Danio rerio: one gene and its partners. The protein of the gene in region 2 interacts with the protein of the main gene of each other region in a biochemical or structural test. Links are inferred from orthologs where the notes say so. Each region holds a gene or a part of one and is shown on either strand. Other genes may lie near its edges.

Region 1 (6,316 bases), on a different chromosome or scaffold from region 2:
GTGGAGAACAAGGCCAGCTGGGCCGTGTGGCTGAACACTTTGCCAACCGTGGAGGAAGGAAGGGATTGAGTATGTATCTTGCTGTTGGATGAATTATCTCCTGGAATGTGAATAAACCTTATGAGCTTATGAGAATCTTTTTGTTTGTTTTTGTTTGAATGCATGTATATGTGTGTGTATTTTAATTATTGGCCACTTGTACTGTAGGCATTTAAAAATATTTTATTTTCCAATTGACCTTATTTTTTATTTTTTGCATCAGCTGCTGTTACAGGATTCAAAAAAACACACTTGACAAATCACCATATTAAATGTATTTTTGAAGGGTCATGCTAGACAGACTAGAGTAATAATTCATTGCTTCATTATTCAGTGACACTTGATCCTTCAAAAATGACATTATAGGGCATTCATCGATCCTATTAATTTTTAAAATGTAGTTTAGGAATGTGTAGCAAGATTAATAAATGTTAGTGAAAAGGGTTTGTAGGCATTCCAGTTACTGCTATTATTGCTGAATGTGTTTTACAGAGTATTCATATTTTCATTTTCCCTGTCTCAGTGAGACTGCTGGAGCCGCAGATGGTTATAATAAAACCGCGAGGGAAGGTGGTCTTCACTGATGTCTTCTGTGGGGCATACTTCACCTTCGCTGTTTCTAAAGAGGGGCACGTCTATGGATTTGGCCTTTCCAACTACCATCAGCTTGGTAAGATTTTACATATTTAATCCTGGTGATAATATGGTTGCATTTTGCACTCTTTTTATATATTTTTTTCTTTAATACAGGCACCCAAAGCACAAACACTTGCTTTGTTCCTGTGAAACTCAGCTCTTTCAAAAACTCCACCACCTCCTGGGTGGGTTTCTCTGGAGGACAGCATCACACACTGTGCCTCAATTCAGAAGGTAATTTATTCGCAAATCTCATTGCGTAGCTGTGTGGTGTTTCATATTCTGCTGCTGCTGAATCATGTGCTCCAGTGTTTATAAAGGATGTTTTTCTGCTGTTTCTCTCCACAGGAAAGGCGTACAGTCTAGGCCGGGCAGAGTATGGTCGTCTGGGTTTGGGGAAGGACGTCGGAGAGAAGAGTGAGCCCACAGTTGTTCCTGGGATCAGTGATGTTCAAGTGGTTGCCTGTGGTGCCTCTGTTAGCTACGCTGTCACCAAACAAGGTGAGAACACATCCTCTGCTTTTTTCATGGAATTTAGATTTAATGTGGATCATTTTTTTTTATTGCACATGAAACTACATGTCGTTATGCAACTTTGAAATGCAAAATGAACAACTAAGACTACTTTATCCACCATCATCAAATCTTTCTTGGGGTCTTTTTACCCTTCCATATTTGAAAGCATTACAAAGTTAGCTTGACTTAAAAAAATAAATAATAATAATAATAATATCAGTTCAAATAATCAACTCTAAATTTCCTTAATTTTAGTAGCAAGTCTTTTTGTAGGAAGTAAATAATTAGTTGGACTGGAAAGAATCTGCAGACTCTTTTGGAAAATATAAAGGGGTGTTTTAATGTTAACTTATACTTTCACTGTCAATTTATATTAAGTTTTTACTGCAAATGGCACAACCATAATGGAATTGTAAATATACATATTACCTTGTATTGTATTTTTTCTTATGTTTTTTTATTAAATAAAAAATCTTTAAATAAATTCATTTACAGACAACTACGCGAGTAAATGAATGCATCGGATGATCTGTTTGCTTGTTTGCAGAAAGCTTTGGGTACAGATTCAGTGTTTGTTTGTTTGTTTGTTTGTTTTTTGTTTTTTTTCCAGTCCCAGTACTGATCAGTTTTGCTGAAAACTGCATATTTTGATTTAACAGTTAAATATTTGTATAGGAGTTACCATGTAATAAAAGCATACCTGACAACATTGACAACAGTTAGCTTCAAATGATAAAATACATAGCAAACGTTAGGCATTATTGACAATAAAATTAAAGGTTTAGCCTATTAAAATCAATGGCCTATACAGAAATTTAATCGTTATTAATCTCGTTCACTCTTTCATAAGCTGTGTTTAAATATTGATTAATTACTAATAGTTATTTAGTGAAGAACAGTAAATGAGTCTCGTTTTGTTTGATAAGAGGTGTCACTGTAAGAATGCACAGATCTTTAGGCTAATGAAAGCATTTGATTACTTGAGTAACTGTTTATGCTCCATTTTGGTGAAAATTAGTTGTTTAAAATAAAACAAGCAGGATGGATTTGTTTACATATTATTAAGTGTATTTGTCGGTTTAAACATGCACCCTAATCCAAAAGTAACTATATTCACTCTAAATGATGTGTACAGAAGCTGATCTGGGAACAGTTTATCATACGGACCGTGTCCGTCAGTCAGCATTAATACATGCATGCACTGATACAGAGATTGTACAGTTAAGGCAACAGGAAACTTTAAAACAAAAAAATAAATGAATATGTTTTTAGATTAATTTCATTGTGTTTTCAAGCCACAATAGTGAATCCACAATTCTCTTGAACAGCTCTTGCATTTTTCATTTTTGAGATCGGCTCTGTATGAAAAGTGAAAGTACAATCATCAACACAAAGATTAAAAACACGGGAGAAATATGGAAAATACTTAAATGGGATGATTAAATGGTAGAATATGGGAGAATCCTAAAGCTAAAGTGGGAGTGTTGACTGGTAATGTATTAGTGGGATAAAGGAAGTTTTTTTTTTTTTTTTTTTTTTTTTTTTTTTTTTTTTTCTTCTTTCAATAAATTGCTTGTTGGTTTATCCAATATTTATTGATTTTTTTGTATTTTGATAATTTAAATTGCACCGTGTGAAGCTGATCAAAACTGACCAGTCCATTTAGCTTTTAGCATTCATTGTCTATTTATGTATTTATGGCAAATGGAACATGACGTATTGTTGTTCACAGTGTGTCTTCCACCCGTAATTACATTCATTGCAGCACTCAGAGTGTTGTATTTTTAGAACATTAAACAATAACGTGATGTGCTCTAGGCTTGTTTTGATTTTGCATTAGCGCTGTTTGACTTCTCTAACGCTGGTATGTGTTTGCCAGGCTCTGTGTTTTCCTGGGGAATGGGCACCAACCTGCAGCTGGGCACAGGAGAGGAGGAGGATGAATGGAGCCCTGTGGAGATGACTGGTAAACAGCTGGAAAACCGTGTGGTTCTGTCGGTGTCCAGCGGAGGGCAGCACACAGTCCTGCTGGTCAAAGATAAGCAGGAGAGCTGATCATTAACTCCTCCACTAAAGACAGCTTAGCCAAACTACTGTATCAGTGGTATCTGTAACCTATAGGGGTGTCTGGGGTTCATAATGCTTCCTGTGCTGAGCCAAGCCAGTCAATGAGGGAGGATCATCTAATTAAACCTTTTGTCCCGCTTTATCGGGAGCCCAAATGTTCACTGGATATGCTCCGGTAGATGATCAAAGAGCCTTTTTTATGGACTTTTTTTTTTTCCTTGCTTTATTTTCTTAATTCTTTTTAACAAAGATCTTTAGAATGCTTCCTAGAGACTGCCTGTTGCGAATGATTGTATGCATGAATACGTGATTTAATAAGTCTTTTAAAATGAGTTTCCCCAGAAACTGTTTTTTTTTTAAATTCCACATTTTGGTGCGAGCAATAACGGGTTACAATAGCAGGTTTAATCAGGATAATAACACATTCGGGGGGAGAAAACTAAACTGATTCAGTATTGCTGTACTTAACAGTGTTGAACTCTTTTTCTTAATCTCTTAAATGAAACTGTTATTGTATCCATGCATTGCTGCCCTGTGGACGATTAATAAAAATGTGTGTTTACAGAAACCGATATATGGGTACTCACTAAAAAGTTGATTTAAGCAGGTATATTAGGGTCTATTTTGAATATGCAATTTCAAGCCTTTAGTGTTATAACTTTCACATTCTTCGGGGTGTACTGCTTGTATTTGTAAGTTAGTTAATTTGTAATTGGTTAATTTGGGATTTATTTTTATGTATTTTGAGAGCTGCAGTAATACAAGTTGCGGAATAATATTACTTTTGTAACTGAGTAAAGTAACACACTACTATGAAAAACAAGTAATGATATTCGAGTTGCTTTTTGTGAAAATTTAATGGCTTTTAAAAAAAAATAAGTTGCTAAATTAAATTGACTCAGTAGCTATGTTTTCAACCACCTATTTTTATGTACGTTTTGCCAATGCGCATAAACGGTTGATGGAAACGCCATGATGCGCATAAACCGTCTTACTGTTTAACTAATACCGTTTAAGCATTAGATATCTTTTACTATTAATGACCTCCAGAATCAAGAGCATCTGTGCCCCACGTCTGACAACTTCAAATGCCACCGAACGTTCACAGCATGTCAGGATTGCCTTCTGAGGCGGAAGTCATTTATTAAATTAAGAAAAGATTGACACAGCTTCTCCTACAGCAGTAAAATCAGTTTTTACTGTTGATATTTGGCGCCAGTTAATCAGCAAGTGACGATTATGTTCGCTTTGACTCTTTGGATGAAAATGCTGCTTTATTCGCACTTCTTTTATGCGATAATCCAGTTTTGCATGGTTCATTCTCATTTTTGGATGGAAACAGCTATTGATTTTACTTGAGACATATAATGCTAAAGTAGCAAACATTGCTTTAAACCTTCAATAATTTGTATATATAGCTCAGGGGTCTGTTCTTCATATGTGGATTACTCTATTAGCTGGATATAGTTAACATTATATACAAATATACAAATGCATAGCATTTTTACGGTACCAGCTTTAGTACAGTTTGTCTATAATATTAGACATGCACAATATTTCACTTTTTTATTTTTTTAAGGAATAATTTATGCGGTCTTGCACATGTTTTGACTGCTAATATGATGGTGAATTGATGCTTCGTCGAAGTTGTAGATACCTTTACTGATATCGAAGCTTTTTTAACCAGCCAGTTATTTCTTTTAAGAAACTTGCCAAATTAAGCCGATTAAGAAACTTGAAATGGCCTAGGTCACTAAAGAAAGTCCGCTCTAAATGTAAAACTAAATATTCTTGACACATGAAAGTGTAAAGTCTGCAGCTCACAACAAAAGTGAAGAGCTATTGCGCATCATATTTCACAAACCATTCACTACGAGTTTAAGGTAATTTTGCTCACATGAATAATTAAATATTAATCAGATGGTCGTTACGCTGCTGTGCCATCAGCCAATCGTTGCATTGTTGATCATGATTTCAAGGGTCAATAGATCTGTTCTTCACAACACTCACAGAGATCTCGGATCAGTTTATCCAGACATTTTAATGTGATTCGCCAACTTGTCAAGACCCAAATTAGCCAGAGATCAGTCATCAAGATTAAAAGATCCAGGATCTGTCAAATCACCTTGGATCATTTAAGCAAATTTTACTGTTTTAAATATTACTCAAAGTAGGAGTAAAAAAATAGCCCTTTAAAAAGTACTCATGAGTAGTGAGAATAATGCTGTTGAAAGTGGATGCATTTACATGTAATTTGTGTATGTGTGTAATTGTAACATTCTGTAGTGCATTTAGTTATTGCCCAGCAGGCACACAATGTCATAAGATGTTAATATTAGGTTAGATTTGGGTTGTGATGTCAGGTGACCAAAATTCAATGTCTAGCCAGCGTCTAAGGACAACATTATTTTGATGTCCAATAATGACATCAAATGACGTTGATATTTGGTTGATTTTAGGTTGTTAGAAAGTGACCAAAATCCAATGTCGAGCCAATATCTTAAACCAACATTCTATTGATGTCAAATACTGACATTTATTCATCAGTTATGGCTACCAAAATTTAACATCTGATGTCATAGTGGTAACATCGACACAACGTCAAACTGTAACATCATTAGATGTTGATATGTGGTTGGTTTTAGGTTGGACGTTGGACATTGACATCGAGCGGACATTGAATTCTGATGTGAACCCGATTTTCATTTCCAAACAAAATGCAGCATCTCCATGACATTAGGGTACAATTTTAATCTGACGGCATGTTGACGTCTTATGCCTGCTGGGTGTTTATGGCCATTTCGGTCATCATACAGTAAATATCCATCATCTTCTCATCAGTGACATGCATCTAATCCAGGGGTGGCCATACTCAGTCCTGGAGGGCCGGTGTCCTGCAAAGTTTAGTTCCATCCCAATTAGACGCACCTGGGAAACATCCGTGCAGGTGTGTTGAGACAAGTTGGAGCTAAAATCTGCAGGATTTCTGGGTCAATGTGTGTAAAGATTTTGAACATCATCTTGGACACTTTTAATGCTTCCAAACAGTTTGCTGCAA
Region 2 (6,417 bases):
GTCAGTGTGAATGTGATCGGATCTGAAACATACTCTTCTCCACAGTTTGCTCTTGTGTAGATGAAAGCTGGCTGAACAGGCCCATCTCTGAACCCGACTCTCTACTGCCTCCTGGTGCATCGGTGGTGAATTTCGGCAGAGCCTGGAAGCGTTCGATACGGGTGGGATTGAGTGATAAACAAGACTTAAACATCGGGAACTGTGATCTATAACTTGACTGTATTAAACTATGACACACACACAAAAGGAATTTACTGCTTTACCACAACGCGATCCAACATGTTCTGTCCAAAGACAAACTTCACACTGTTGGCATTGCTGCTGTCAGGTTTTTGTGCGCTATAAGAAACAATATCAATGCCAGGAAACATTACAAGATTCTGCATGAGGGGATCTGTAAAAAAAGTCTTTAAATATGAACATTTGAACTGCAATACCTGGGAGTGATGCACTGCAAGAAGTAGTTAGTTTCCCCAGAATTTTCTGTCTGAAGGCCATCGGCTTTCTGTGAGGAGTCCAAACTGTTTCCCACCTGGAAGAAAATACAATTTAACATTCAAAAGCAAAGCAAAACATCAAAACATATATTTTTTCACATTCAATATATTGATATAAGTTAAGCTTTTTTATTATTATTATTATTAAAAGGAATGGGTAATATGACAACGAAATCGTGATATGTTAAAAAATAAAATAAAAACAAAATATAAATGAAACATTATTGTCAATTACTTTAACTTAAGGGTAAATAAATAACTTAAGGGTAAAAACGGAACTATCAAATCTAAACTAAAACATTAAAATCTAGTTTAAAATAATAATGATGATTTAACAGTGTTTTTTAAATACAAAGGGCCCCATCATAAACACAGCGCAATAAGGCGCAAGACGTGTTTGGCATGATTTGTTGCTATTTTCAGATCAGCGCAACTGTAATTTTTACATTTTCACCATGTTGAGTAAATAGCAAATTCATTTGGTGTGTACAACACCGTTTTATTACTCTACGAAAGTAAAGGAGAAAAAAAAATAGGAAAAGTAAAGAGAAAGTTGAGAAAGGCTGAACGGAGGAGGCTCTTTCTTTATAATCGTGCTGCAGATGGTTTAACTGTTTTCATGCTAGTGAAGGGTTCAGTTTTTCCACTTATAAAGTCCGCCATGTTAATAGCAAATGTGCCATGGCATGACGCAACTGACTCGTAAAAGGAATAGGAGATGAGACTCTGATTGGTTTAAAGCTCTGCTCAAAACACACCTGTAACTCATTAAGAAAATAAACACAACCCTGTTAGACCATGCGTCGGGGCTGCAGACCAAATTTTTCTGTCCTTAAAATAGCAAAAGTCGATTGGGACAAGTCCTTAATGCTTTTGTGCCATGTGCTTTAGACTTTGCGACTAGATTGTTAAGTCTTTTGCAGGATGGCCTGTGATGTGGGTAGGTTTATTTGATTTTATTTAATATGTAATATGTGGACATAATATGTAAAAATAGAGAATTCTTTAATCTGAAACTCAGTCTTCAACTTTTTGTCAAAATAATAATAATGATGAGTAGGCCCACACGGAATCTGCACAAGCAGATTTACGGAGATTTTTAGCCCATCATTGAGGCTATTTATTTACTTGTAAATTTTTGTTCATAAGATTTATTTACAACAAAGTTTGTAAAGTAATATTTTATGTCTTTTAGCAGATATATTATATGAGATACTTGCTTAGTTTACCAAACAATGGATCTAATTGGATTTGCATTGTAAACATTAAATACAAGTTTAAAATGTATTACTTTTATTTCATATTAGGTTTCAGATTTTTTACCAAATTCTGGGCAGAAATAGCAAAAAATGTTAGCAGATTCTGTCTGCCCTAATGACAAGCAACATTTGGTAGTACACACTACTGTTCAGAAGTTTGGAGTCGGGAAGATTTGTTAATGCTTTTAATTCAAAACAAAATACTGTAGAAGTGTAAAACATTATTCAAATTTTAAATACGAGTCAATATTATTGTATAGCTTAAAATGCTACTTTTGTGTTAAATCTGAATATTAGCATTCAGTGATTTGATCCAAAATCATTCTAATACAATCATTTAGTTCTTATTTCTCTATCGCATTATCACTGCGGTCAACATTTGAGCTCCATAATAATTTTGTGAAAACTGATATATATATATATATTATATATATATATATGTATATATGTATGTGTGTGTGTGTGTGTATATATATATAGATATATATATAGATTAGTAATGATTTAAACTTTTGTAACATTATAAATTAGTCTTTGGTGAAATTAATACACTTTGCAGAATTCAAGTATTAATTTCATTTAAAAAATTATAATAATGGACTGCAACTTTAGTGCAGATTTTTAATTAACATTCACTATTGTTATGTGGTGACTTCTAAACAAAATTCTGATAATGATGCAAACAAACCACTGAAGCACTTTCAACATAATTCTTTGAAATGGTCCGTGCTTTTACATGAATTGAACTTTACTATGTTTATATATCAGAAGCTATAAAAATTATCCAAATCAACTGAATTAAACCTTTGCTCTGTCCCTCATATTCTCTCCAAATACAAAACTGGCATCAATCTGGGCACCGTGTTGCTCTGGTTTGTCATCTGTTTCGGGCTCCAAAGTGCTCTTGTCCTTAAAAAACAATGAAAGGTAATTTAAGTTAAAGGTGTGACCAGTCAAACATTTTGTTCAGTTTTCAGCGTACACGTTTCACAATTTCATCTAGAAACACAGGGTCAGCCAAGAAAAACGAAGTTGTTCAGAACAAGATGATAAAGTATTTTCTGGAAGCCACAGCCATGTAAAATAAAACGAAACTTGTCTGGCTTCTGGACCAGAGCCCGTGCTGCGTTCAAACACGCTTATCTTGAAGAAAAACACAGTGTTTAAACATTACAGTGGCCCATAAAAGTATGTAGACACTTAATCCACAATTTAAAAATATATTAACATTTTAAATATACATAGAAAATAAAGTATTATAGTGGGATTGTTATTGAAATTGATTAGAGAGTGCACATTTTTCAAGCAAAATGTTTTGCAAAATATAATTTTTTATAGCAAGTTAGCTCCATTGATTAAAGTATTTTGAACAGTGTTGATAAAGTAAATTTGTACCAAGCGTGTACTTTATTTTTAAAAAGGTAAAAGTACCAGCCTTTCTGCAGCACTGCATGATCATGCCGGTACTACCCACCAAAATGCACCTCATAGTTTTTGCGTGACAATTTAAAGCAGACAACAGTGCTGTTTGGGACATGGCTTTAAGTGTGTCGTATCTTACCAATGACTCCGAATTTTCCTGAGTGCCAGCAGCGGATGCCTCTGAGTGACCTTCACATTCTGTTCCTCCATCTGAGAGCTTTTTCACTCCATTTGAACTGTTGCTGCTTATGTCTGGTGAAAGAAAAAGACGTCAGCTGTCACCTGCTGTGCTTCCCCTTCAGCTTTTCTCTGTGAGAGGATCTTCGTGGTGTACTCACTGTTCTGAGGGGGGCTTTTGACCGGAGGGGGCTGCAGGACGGGAGGCCTCAGGATGCTCCGCTGGGCTTCTTTGGGTTTTGGACTGGGGACACCTGAAAGAAACCAATTAAATAACAATTAACATTAAGAAAGCCTCAGCATCTATATTGCAATGTGCGTCTTCAATAGTCACATCATCATCCCAATGCAAAGTATAACCATAAGCGAGTGAAAGTTTATCATTTGCTTGTGTTTTAAAGGAACGCTTCACCTATTTTTGAAAATGGCTTGTTTTACAAGTCTCCTTGTCAACTTCAACCATTTTTGACTACATTCAGCCAATTTCTTTGTTCTGGCAGGGTCACTTTAGCTTAGCATAATGGATTAAAACAGATATGAGCCCCCCTCAGAACAGTGCCCCCCTTAGAACAGTGATCTTCCAGCCTAAACCACGGCGAATGAAGCTCTGCACAAGACTTTTGGCCAGCGGAGAAATTAAAATGGTCGTGCCCAACTGAGTCTGGTTCTCTCAAGGTTTTTTTTCTTCACTCCCATCAGGTGAAGTTTTTTTTTCCCTCTCCGCTGTCGCCACTGCCTCGCATGGTTCAGGATTGGTAGAGCTACGCATCGATGAATTTGCTCTTCAGTGTTTGAACTCTCAGTAATGATTAAATCACACTGAACTGAGCTAAACTGAACTGAACTTAAACACTAAAACCTGAACCACACTGTTCCAGTTACTATGACCATTTATGTGAAGCTGCTTTGACACAATCTACATTGTAAAAGCGCTATACAAATAAAGCTGAATTGAATTGAATTGAATATGACCATTAGCATTTAATAAAAAAAAAAGTAAAAAACTGTTGTTTTTTATTTAAAGATGCTGAGTTTTTGACTCTTCTAAAGCATAAAAATACCTTAAAATATTTGCAGATTTTTAACAGTTTAAAGTTCGCAGTTCAGCCAATTACATTTCAGCACTCTGCGTTGCCTTGGTTGAAAACCGCATATTTCATTCATTCAGTCAGGAAGGCTCACAAAGTGTGCATGGTGAATGAAATGGGACCTCCAGTGGACAGTAGCAGACTCCGAAATGAGATGCAGATTCAGAGTTCCACATGAGGTGGTTATTAATTAGCAAAAAGTATAAATATTGTGAACGTAAACATTAGGTGAGCAGGTTACATTAACCCCGTGTACTAACAACACACTACGTAACGAGATTTGTTTTTCTGATAAACAAGAATGTTCACTTGTACTCACACTATATACAGTGGCCTTGAACCGGGCCAAAGCACGATTGTCGCCCCCTCCCGTCTCCCCCGATGGCCCGCACTCACATCACATTCAGGCCTGGGCATGTTTACGTCATCGATAATGCGCTGTTCAGCAAGCGACTATCGCTTTAGTCGTTTGGGATGCGGTGACACGTAGTCAAATATTTCGTCGAATAGATCAGCCACTTCTGACGCTCATAAACAATCATAAAGTCCTCGTGCTGCAGGAATGAGGAGGTTTGCTGAAGGTGCAGCTGTCGTGCAGTGAGGGGTTTGCGTCTTTAATAAACTATGACAGTTTGCGTTTATTGAACAGTAAAAATGATTAATAAATCCGTATATCCCTTAAAAGTCACGTCCCGCTTTCAGTTTCTGACTCAGGCACGTTTTGCACCCACACAAGCAAACAGAGCCAAAGCCCAAGTGAACCGCACTCTGGCACACCTTATCCAACCGGGCCAGGGCCGGCCAAGTGAACTGTGCCTGAGCCCGATTGAGAGCACTCACACTTCTCAAACGATCCGGGAAATGGGGCTGGGCACGGTTCGGATAGCATAGTGTGATGTAATGTTTCTTAAATATCTGCAAACTTATTATGGTATTTTACGCTTTAGAAGAGTAAAAAACTTACATACAGCCCTTTTAACCTTAATATTAATAGCACAATCATATTATTAACTGACAAAATCATTAATTACAAATTATTCTGGTGTACGTTTACTTTTAACTGCAAAGAATTTGTAAATCAGAACCCTGGTGACAGAAACGCATCCGTCAACCCTGTCAAGACCTCTTATGTTTTCTGATTCAGAAGGATCACAGTGTGAATGTGAGTGCTTGGAGCCGTGTAAATAAACAAGCTCATGAAAACAGCACAACTGGACATTAATCAACACGCTGTACAAAACAGCAGATGTTCCAACACTGACTCACCAGCACTCGGAGCCTGGCCGTGGATCAGAGTCGGGGGCTTCAGGCGAAACCCCACAGTCTTCTCTTCTAATCAAAAAAGTCAAGTAAAGAAAACAAGATTGGTCGATGTGATCGGAAATCGAACACATACTACTTTCAGACAATTTACATATTGTGCAAATATTTGTCTTGGTAAACTTTCAAAACAACATTATTTTACAAGTCTGTTTAACAAAACACCATTTGATTTCCATTCATGATGTTCATACGGTGGCTGAGAGAGCTTAACCAAAGTCATTTCTCATCTGTTCTGAGCCCCTCCCCCTGAGAATCATCAGTCTATATAGCGATCAATAATTGGTTCCTGTACTAAAAGGTGAGGCATCATTCGCCATATTGACTGTTCCCCATTCAAAACTATACGAGTGACACGTCTTATGCATTCTATAATCTTTGGTGTTATCAGCAGAAACATGCAACATGCAACGACTTCATCGGTTTGACAGGACGCGTGTTGTAAGCACAGACTGTAAAAGTTATGGAAGTAGTATCCATGATGTCACCCATAGGTTTCTGAAAGGCGCAAATAAAGCTAGTAGGCGTGGCCAACCGGCGCCATTTGGTTTGGTAAAATGTGTAATCTTTACTGTTGTTTCTCAGTTACAGTGCAAAAAAGTGTGTGTGAGAGTGTAAGAGAGACCTGTTTGAGAAAATCAAAAATAAGCTGCT
Region 3 (5,938 bases), on a different chromosome or scaffold from region 2:
GGACGAAACATCTGCGTGTTCCCTTGGTAGTAAAGATGCTGTACAGTGATGCTGATATGAACATGTAGAAGCTGCTGAACACTCCTGTGTAGAAAAAAAACGAAAAGCGCAAATGGAGCGCCGCTTCAAAGCAGCATCGATCAGACTGTTCAACTCAGCTATCCGCTTCACATTCTGCTGAGAGCTACTGTAGTCCCAAACCACACCAAACGCCAGCCAATGAGCACGCAGCACCTGTGCAAACTCACCAATCGCAGACATTCGTTGACATTCTCATTGGCTAAATCACACACACACATAAACTGACACGAGGTACCATCTATACCTGCTGTCAGAACGCACACAGCTCCCTGCAAACAAAACAAACTGCACTCTGGTCTTCATATATATATATAATGTACATGAACAAATACATGACGTGTGGAAGTTGAAACGAAAAACGCAAAAGCACAAGCGAGTTAACTGTACAGATGTGACACTTCATGCACCGTTCAGGTTACAGTGACCAAACGTAAGCTGTTGACAATGGAAAAGTAATACATAAAAGTGTCTGTATGAAACGCGTACTATGCAAATAGGGCCACTGGGTGACAGCATCGTTTACATATTGGCATCGTTTTGGTCAAGAGAGAGCCAAGTGCGGAAATCACCTCCTCGCATGAAGAGCCTAAGTATTTACACACACACACACACACTTAGAGAAAACACACAGAAGAGCAGCCACAACAACACTTTAGTTGTGTGTTGAGCTTGTTTAGGAGTCAGCGCAGTGTGTCTGTGTGTACTGTGTTTGTGTGCAAACTCAGTCACACATCTCTTCTGGTATTTCATGAGGGTTGAGGATGCCAGGCACGGACATCTGCAGCTTGTGTTTCTCCTCCTGGGCCTGACGCAATGATGCCTCCCGCTCCTCCAGGAACAGATCAGATGTGTCCTCACCGGCAAACTCCTGCAGGTACACAGAGAATCCAGTCAGCGGTTTATGGTTGCTACTAGCACAGATTGATCTCTGCTATAATTGTCCTCTCTCTATCTTTCACACACAGATCTGGTCAGGACGTAATAATGTTCAGGGTTCACACTCTAAACCAAATGGCAAATTCCCTGATATTCAGCTCCTAAAAAGCTGAATATCCATGAACTATAATGAACAGTACACGAGCAGCAGTGTTGAGCAGTCTCTCTAGATCTGAATAATTCCGCAGTCGCTAAATTAAACGCAAAATAAAACATATGGTGCAAAACCTGAAAACAATTTTTAAGTGCTGGAGGTTTTTCCTCGAGATTTTGGCTAACCAGGACACTGTTCAAATTTCTACCATGTCATCTGCATTATTTATTATTATTTTTTATTGTATTTTGCCTAATTACCCTAACTTGCCGACTTAACCTGGTTAAGCCTTTACATGTCACCAGAAAAATATCTTTTAGTCAAATATTATTATCATTATGGCAAAAATAAAATATATTAGTTATTAGAAATGAGTAATTAAATCTATAGAAATGTGTTGATAAAATCTTACTGGTAATAATATAATATATAATCTGTATACCATTTTATGTTAAAAATAATGGTTAAATGTTATATTTTTGATGGTTAAATGACTAATGTGCGCTGGGCTAATCAGTTATTCCATTAAACAGCAGTTTCTTTAGTTATTCCATAGTTACCATTAATAAGGTTCAAATTGGGTTAACACTACATGTTTTTTTTTTTTTTTAGGTGGAGCTGTCATTAGTATGTTTAAAAATTAGGTTCTCAATTTAATGCCCCACAATGACAAAAGTACATATGAGACCATGCATTCAGGTTTAAGTGTTCACCTGGACTGATATTGCACAAAAGTAAGAGAAGGAATTAAGCGGGGACTATCCTTGGTGAATTTAGTCTTGACAGGCTAAATTAAGTTATTCTTTGCAGCTAGCCTACACCAGAGCAGGCTAACAACCAGGCTAAGATTAATCCTAGTGATTTATAATGTTAGTTTTAATGTCAATGCTACTAGAAATGAATGCGTTTTACATATCTTTTTTGTATTACTTATTATTATTATTATTATATAGTTTTTTTTTTTGATGAAACCTCAAATAAAAGATTAAATAGTCTCAATTATGAAGAAAAAAAGTATAAATGGAAATGATAGATAAATGATTATACTGATAAAGATTAAATAAACTTAATACAATAAAATAAACAGACAACGGGAGTTTCCAGATTGGTGGACAATAGAGGCATTTTTTAACTCACATCAGGTTTTATCAATATTTGTTACCATTGATTCTGTAATCGATCCTGTAATCTGTTAACATGTGCGTGAATGTCCACACATCCTGGCTATCAACATCAGGTTTGACATAGCGGCTTGTTCTCATCCTGGATAAGCAAATGTGCAATGGACTAAGCCTAGAGGACCTAATTAAACTAGGTCAAGCCATGCTTCTTCTGTTATCCTGGCTTTCTTGATTTCAATTTTCTACAATAACGCTCAGGATATAAAAACATGTACGTATACACACACACACACACTCTGTTCCCATGCACTTCAGCTGACCCATACAGTTTCACCACCCTTCATGGTCTCTTAAAAGGTCAAAGTTACAGCACACTTGCTTCCTCACACCATCTCCATTTCCTCCACTCACACCCTCATCTATCATCTGCTCAAATACGTCATTACTACTGACATTGTATTAAAGGCAACCCAATTTATTTAGAGATTATTAAGGCTCTCAACTGGTTTGCAGCTCACCTTGATCTGTACAAGGAAATCCCTCAAGTGCTCCTTGAATGCTGCGATGTCTTGGTTTAAACTGAACAGGCCAGTCACAAATACTTTTACCTGGGCACTACAAAGAGGAAGAAAACAATCATACAGTCAGATTGGAAATGAAACTAGACATGAACAGTTTGCAGACTGTTGCTGCAGAACTAAAACTGTATTAATTAATCTCACAGCAAGATGTCTACTGAGAACAAACAAGCTTTTACCTGAGAGATGTGTTGCATGACATTCAACCAAATGCAATTATCACCAAAACAACTGCAGTTAGTGGATTTACTGACACTGATTTTATTATTAACCTCCTAATGCTCTGAAAATCTGTATAGTACTTGGGTCCTTCTAAACCCAACGCATTAGTATTCCTTTTTCAAAAGATGCAGGTTTGTGAAGCATCAGCTCAGGTGCATTGTGGGATACTCACTCTTGTAAGTGTGGGAAAGCTGATTTAAGCAAGTTGGCCACATACTCCTGGATGAACACTTGGTTGTTGACTGGGTTTGATGGGTTCAGAGTTGTACTGATTTTTCCTTCCTCGACGAGGTTAAACATGTACGCTAATATTGATGCGTGCATAGTTAAACCTAAAGTTTTAATGCAAAAAAAAAAATGACATATATAAGAACTGAATTATAAAAACTAGAGTCAAGCCTGAAATTATTCATACCCAAGCAAATTCTGACCTAAAGCTTTTGTTCGAATGTGAATAAAAGCTGAGAATTTGATGCCTCTTGTACATAGTCCTATTGTCTTTTAGGAGAAGCCCATGTCGCTTCTGTAAAGTAATTTTAAGTCAAAATTTGCCAGGGGTATAAACTATTTCAGGCTTGCAATGATTTAAAATAATTAATAGAGTGTTTTAAGGAGCAAGTGATAGGAGCTGACCGGCTGTGTGTGACGTGTCCGTGACGACAGAGAAGATGTGTTGAAGGATGTCACAGAAGTATGTCTGATAGAAGCTCTGAGCCGCTGCCTCCTCCTGAGCCACATTCTGCAGCAGAGTGTAGAGGATCTGCAGGCCTGCAGGACATTTCACATTGTATGTTATGCTTAATGATTATGGTTTATCAGTTAGGCATTACGGTACATAAGATATCAGTGTTCTCACCAGTGTCTGCCACATTTCTCATAGTGTGTTTAAAAGCCCATATAATGGAGTCCAGCACAAGCTTAAACTGGGCTGGGGGTATGGCCAAGAATGCAGGGAAACAGTGAGAGTTCACCGCCTGAAGCAGGTAGAAGAAATGCGTCCGGTGCTCTGGGTACTCTTCAAAATCCTAAACAAAAATATAAATGTATACTAGTTATTTAGTTGTTTATTTTTTATATCATGGAAAATAAATGGGGACTATATTATATAATATTTTCCCTTTTTACATCATTTAATAATTTTCTTTTTACGTGATAAACATTTATTAATTTCTGGTAAAATCTTATGCATTTCATTATAAATTAATAAATAAAGTAATAGTACTAGTGTTAAAAGTTTAATAAAATGTGTTTGATGAAAAGCGAATCGTAAAAAAGCGAATAATAAATTAATTTATCCATTCATAAATATTAGTACTAGTATTAAAGGTTTTTTTTATCTTTAAGCAAAATGGTTTTTGCAAAAAAAAAAAAAAACATTTGATCAAATATTGAAAGTCTCTTTATGATTTAGGAATTAATTTAGGTAAGGCTTTATTTTTATGGTCCCTATTGCACATTTTGTTGACAAAGTTGCATTGCAACCACATGACAATCATTTCTTATTTGAGTATTAGTAGACTGTCTGCTTAATATCAGTTGATACTGCTGTTTCAACAGACATTAAACTGACTATAAAAACTTTGCAAGTACATATCAACTTAAACTAACCCTTACCTAACAGTCTACTTATAATCTAATGAGAATTAACTGGCATGTAGATGCAATGTTTGTTCAATTCAACAAAATGCGTTTAAGGGACCATCAAAATAAAGTGATACCGTAATTTATTGTAAGTGAATGTACATAAACCCAGGTAAAAAAGGAATATAATGCAATTCAATGTGGGACACAATCTGCCCCTCGAGGATTTTGCTGGGAAAATTATTTTTATATTTGTGGCGTAAAATGACAGATTTTGTGATGCTTTCTCAAAACGTATGACATTGTGCACTTCAATTCTTGTGTTATGCTTTGAAAATACACAAACATTTTACAATTTGTATATTTTTGATCTCAAGAACCACTAGATTCAAAATTCTGGAGGGACTGAACAACAAACATGAATATAAGAAGTATGATGCAATCTGGCTTTAATAATAAATGACAATGTACTATTAAATATTTATTTCATAATAGTGATGGATAAACAAATGCAGCTTACTTTGTTGATCATGTTTAATGTGCACTCAAACACTGCATCAAATATCTGTGGGATCTCTCCAGTGATGTGTCCACCCAGTTTGTTTACGATTGTTGCCATGGTGCTGAGGACTTCCGGTTCTCTCGCCGCCGGAACATTGCGCTGATAATCAATGAGCACAGCATCCAGCAATGGAGGGACAAAGTTCTCCCCCACCTAGAGCATGAACAAAAAAAAAACACACATGCGCACACAGGCTTAAAGGATGAGCGGATAAGTGTGTGTTGCGTAAGGACATCACTAATCTCAACAGGTTCAGACTGACAGACCTGAAGCAGGTAGAACAGCATGATCTGCATGGAGACAAATACTGAATTTAACAAACGGACAGATATGAGACTTTCGGCTGCTGCAATCATTTCTTGCTTATTCTAAAATAAATTTTGGCCGTTGTGGAGTCTTGTTTTGCTATATTAAAGATAATGATTTTACTTTGATTTAATCACTGAGTGCTATTTGTGAACACAAGAATGGTTTGATTGGTTAATTAAATTTTCATGGAATGCTCAGATAAGAGCACATTTTTTTGTTTGTTGTTGTTATTTTCTAAACCACATTTTTCAGGGTGTGGATGGATAATTTACTGTTAGCTTTTCTCATTGCTTTTAACACTATTTATTTGTTATTATTCACCAATAATGCTATTTGTTTTTATCCATTTCTCCCATAGACAACTGAATCAAATAGCAAAAACGCACTTCTGCATCGCAATATAAGGTCAATAAGCAAAGTGCATTTCTTATGTTCTGTTACATGACATGTTTTT

The links.
Region 1: the proteins of ranbp3a (region 2) and rcc1 form a complex in vitro, tested with the Homo sapiens proteins (2 studies listed by BioGRID). The link is inferred for Danio rerio from reciprocal best matches to the Homo sapiens genes RANBP3 and RCC1.
Region 3: the proteins of ranbp3a (region 2) and xpo1b form a complex in vitro, tested with the Homo sapiens proteins (2 studies listed by BioGRID). The link is inferred for Danio rerio from reciprocal best matches to the Homo sapiens genes RANBP3 and XPO1.

What each region holds. Positions count from the first base shown.
Region 1 is NC_133191.1:37,413,235-37,419,550, reverse strand, and holds the end of rcc1 (regulator of chromosome condensation), read left to right. Parts: coding exon 1-69; intron 70-562; coding exon 563-709; intron 710-789; coding exon 790-909; intron 910-1,023; coding exon 1,024-1,176; intron 1,177-3,070; coding exon 3,071-3,246; 3' UTR 3,247-3,826; downstream 3,827-6,316. UniProt on the Homo sapiens protein: Guanine-nucleotide releasing factor that promotes the exchange of Ran-bound GDP by GTP, and thereby plays an important role in RAN-mediated functions in nuclear import and mitosis.
Region 2 is NC_133186.1:6,432,128-6,438,544, reverse strand, and holds part of ranbp3a (ran-binding protein 3a), read right to left. Parts: intron 5,776-6,417; coding exon 5,710-5,775; intron 3,610-5,709; coding exon 3,517-3,609; intron 3,431-3,516; coding exon 3,318-3,430; intron 2,666-3,317; coding exon 2,561-2,665; intron 533-2,560; coding exon 438-532; intron 340-437; coding exon 264-339; intron 143-263; coding exon 34-142; intron 1-33. UniProt on the Homo sapiens protein: Acts as a cofactor for XPO1/CRM1-mediated nuclear export, perhaps as export complex scaffolding protein. Bound to XPO1/CRM1, stabilizes the XPO1/CRM1-cargo interaction. In the absence of Ran-bound GTP prevents binding of XPO1/CRM1 to the nuclear pore complex.
Region 3 is NC_133192.1:25,332,570-25,338,507, reverse strand, and holds part of xpo1b (exportin-1), read right to left. Parts: intron 5,329-5,938; coding exon 5,134-5,328; intron 4,058-5,133; coding exon 3,889-4,057; intron 3,801-3,888; coding exon 3,666-3,800; intron 3,365-3,665; coding exon 3,205-3,364; intron 2,848-3,204; coding exon 2,751-2,847; intron 950-2,750; coding exon 803-949; 3' UTR 1-802. UniProt on the Homo sapiens protein: Mediates the nuclear export of cellular proteins (cargos) bearing a leucine-rich nuclear export signal (NES) and of RNAs.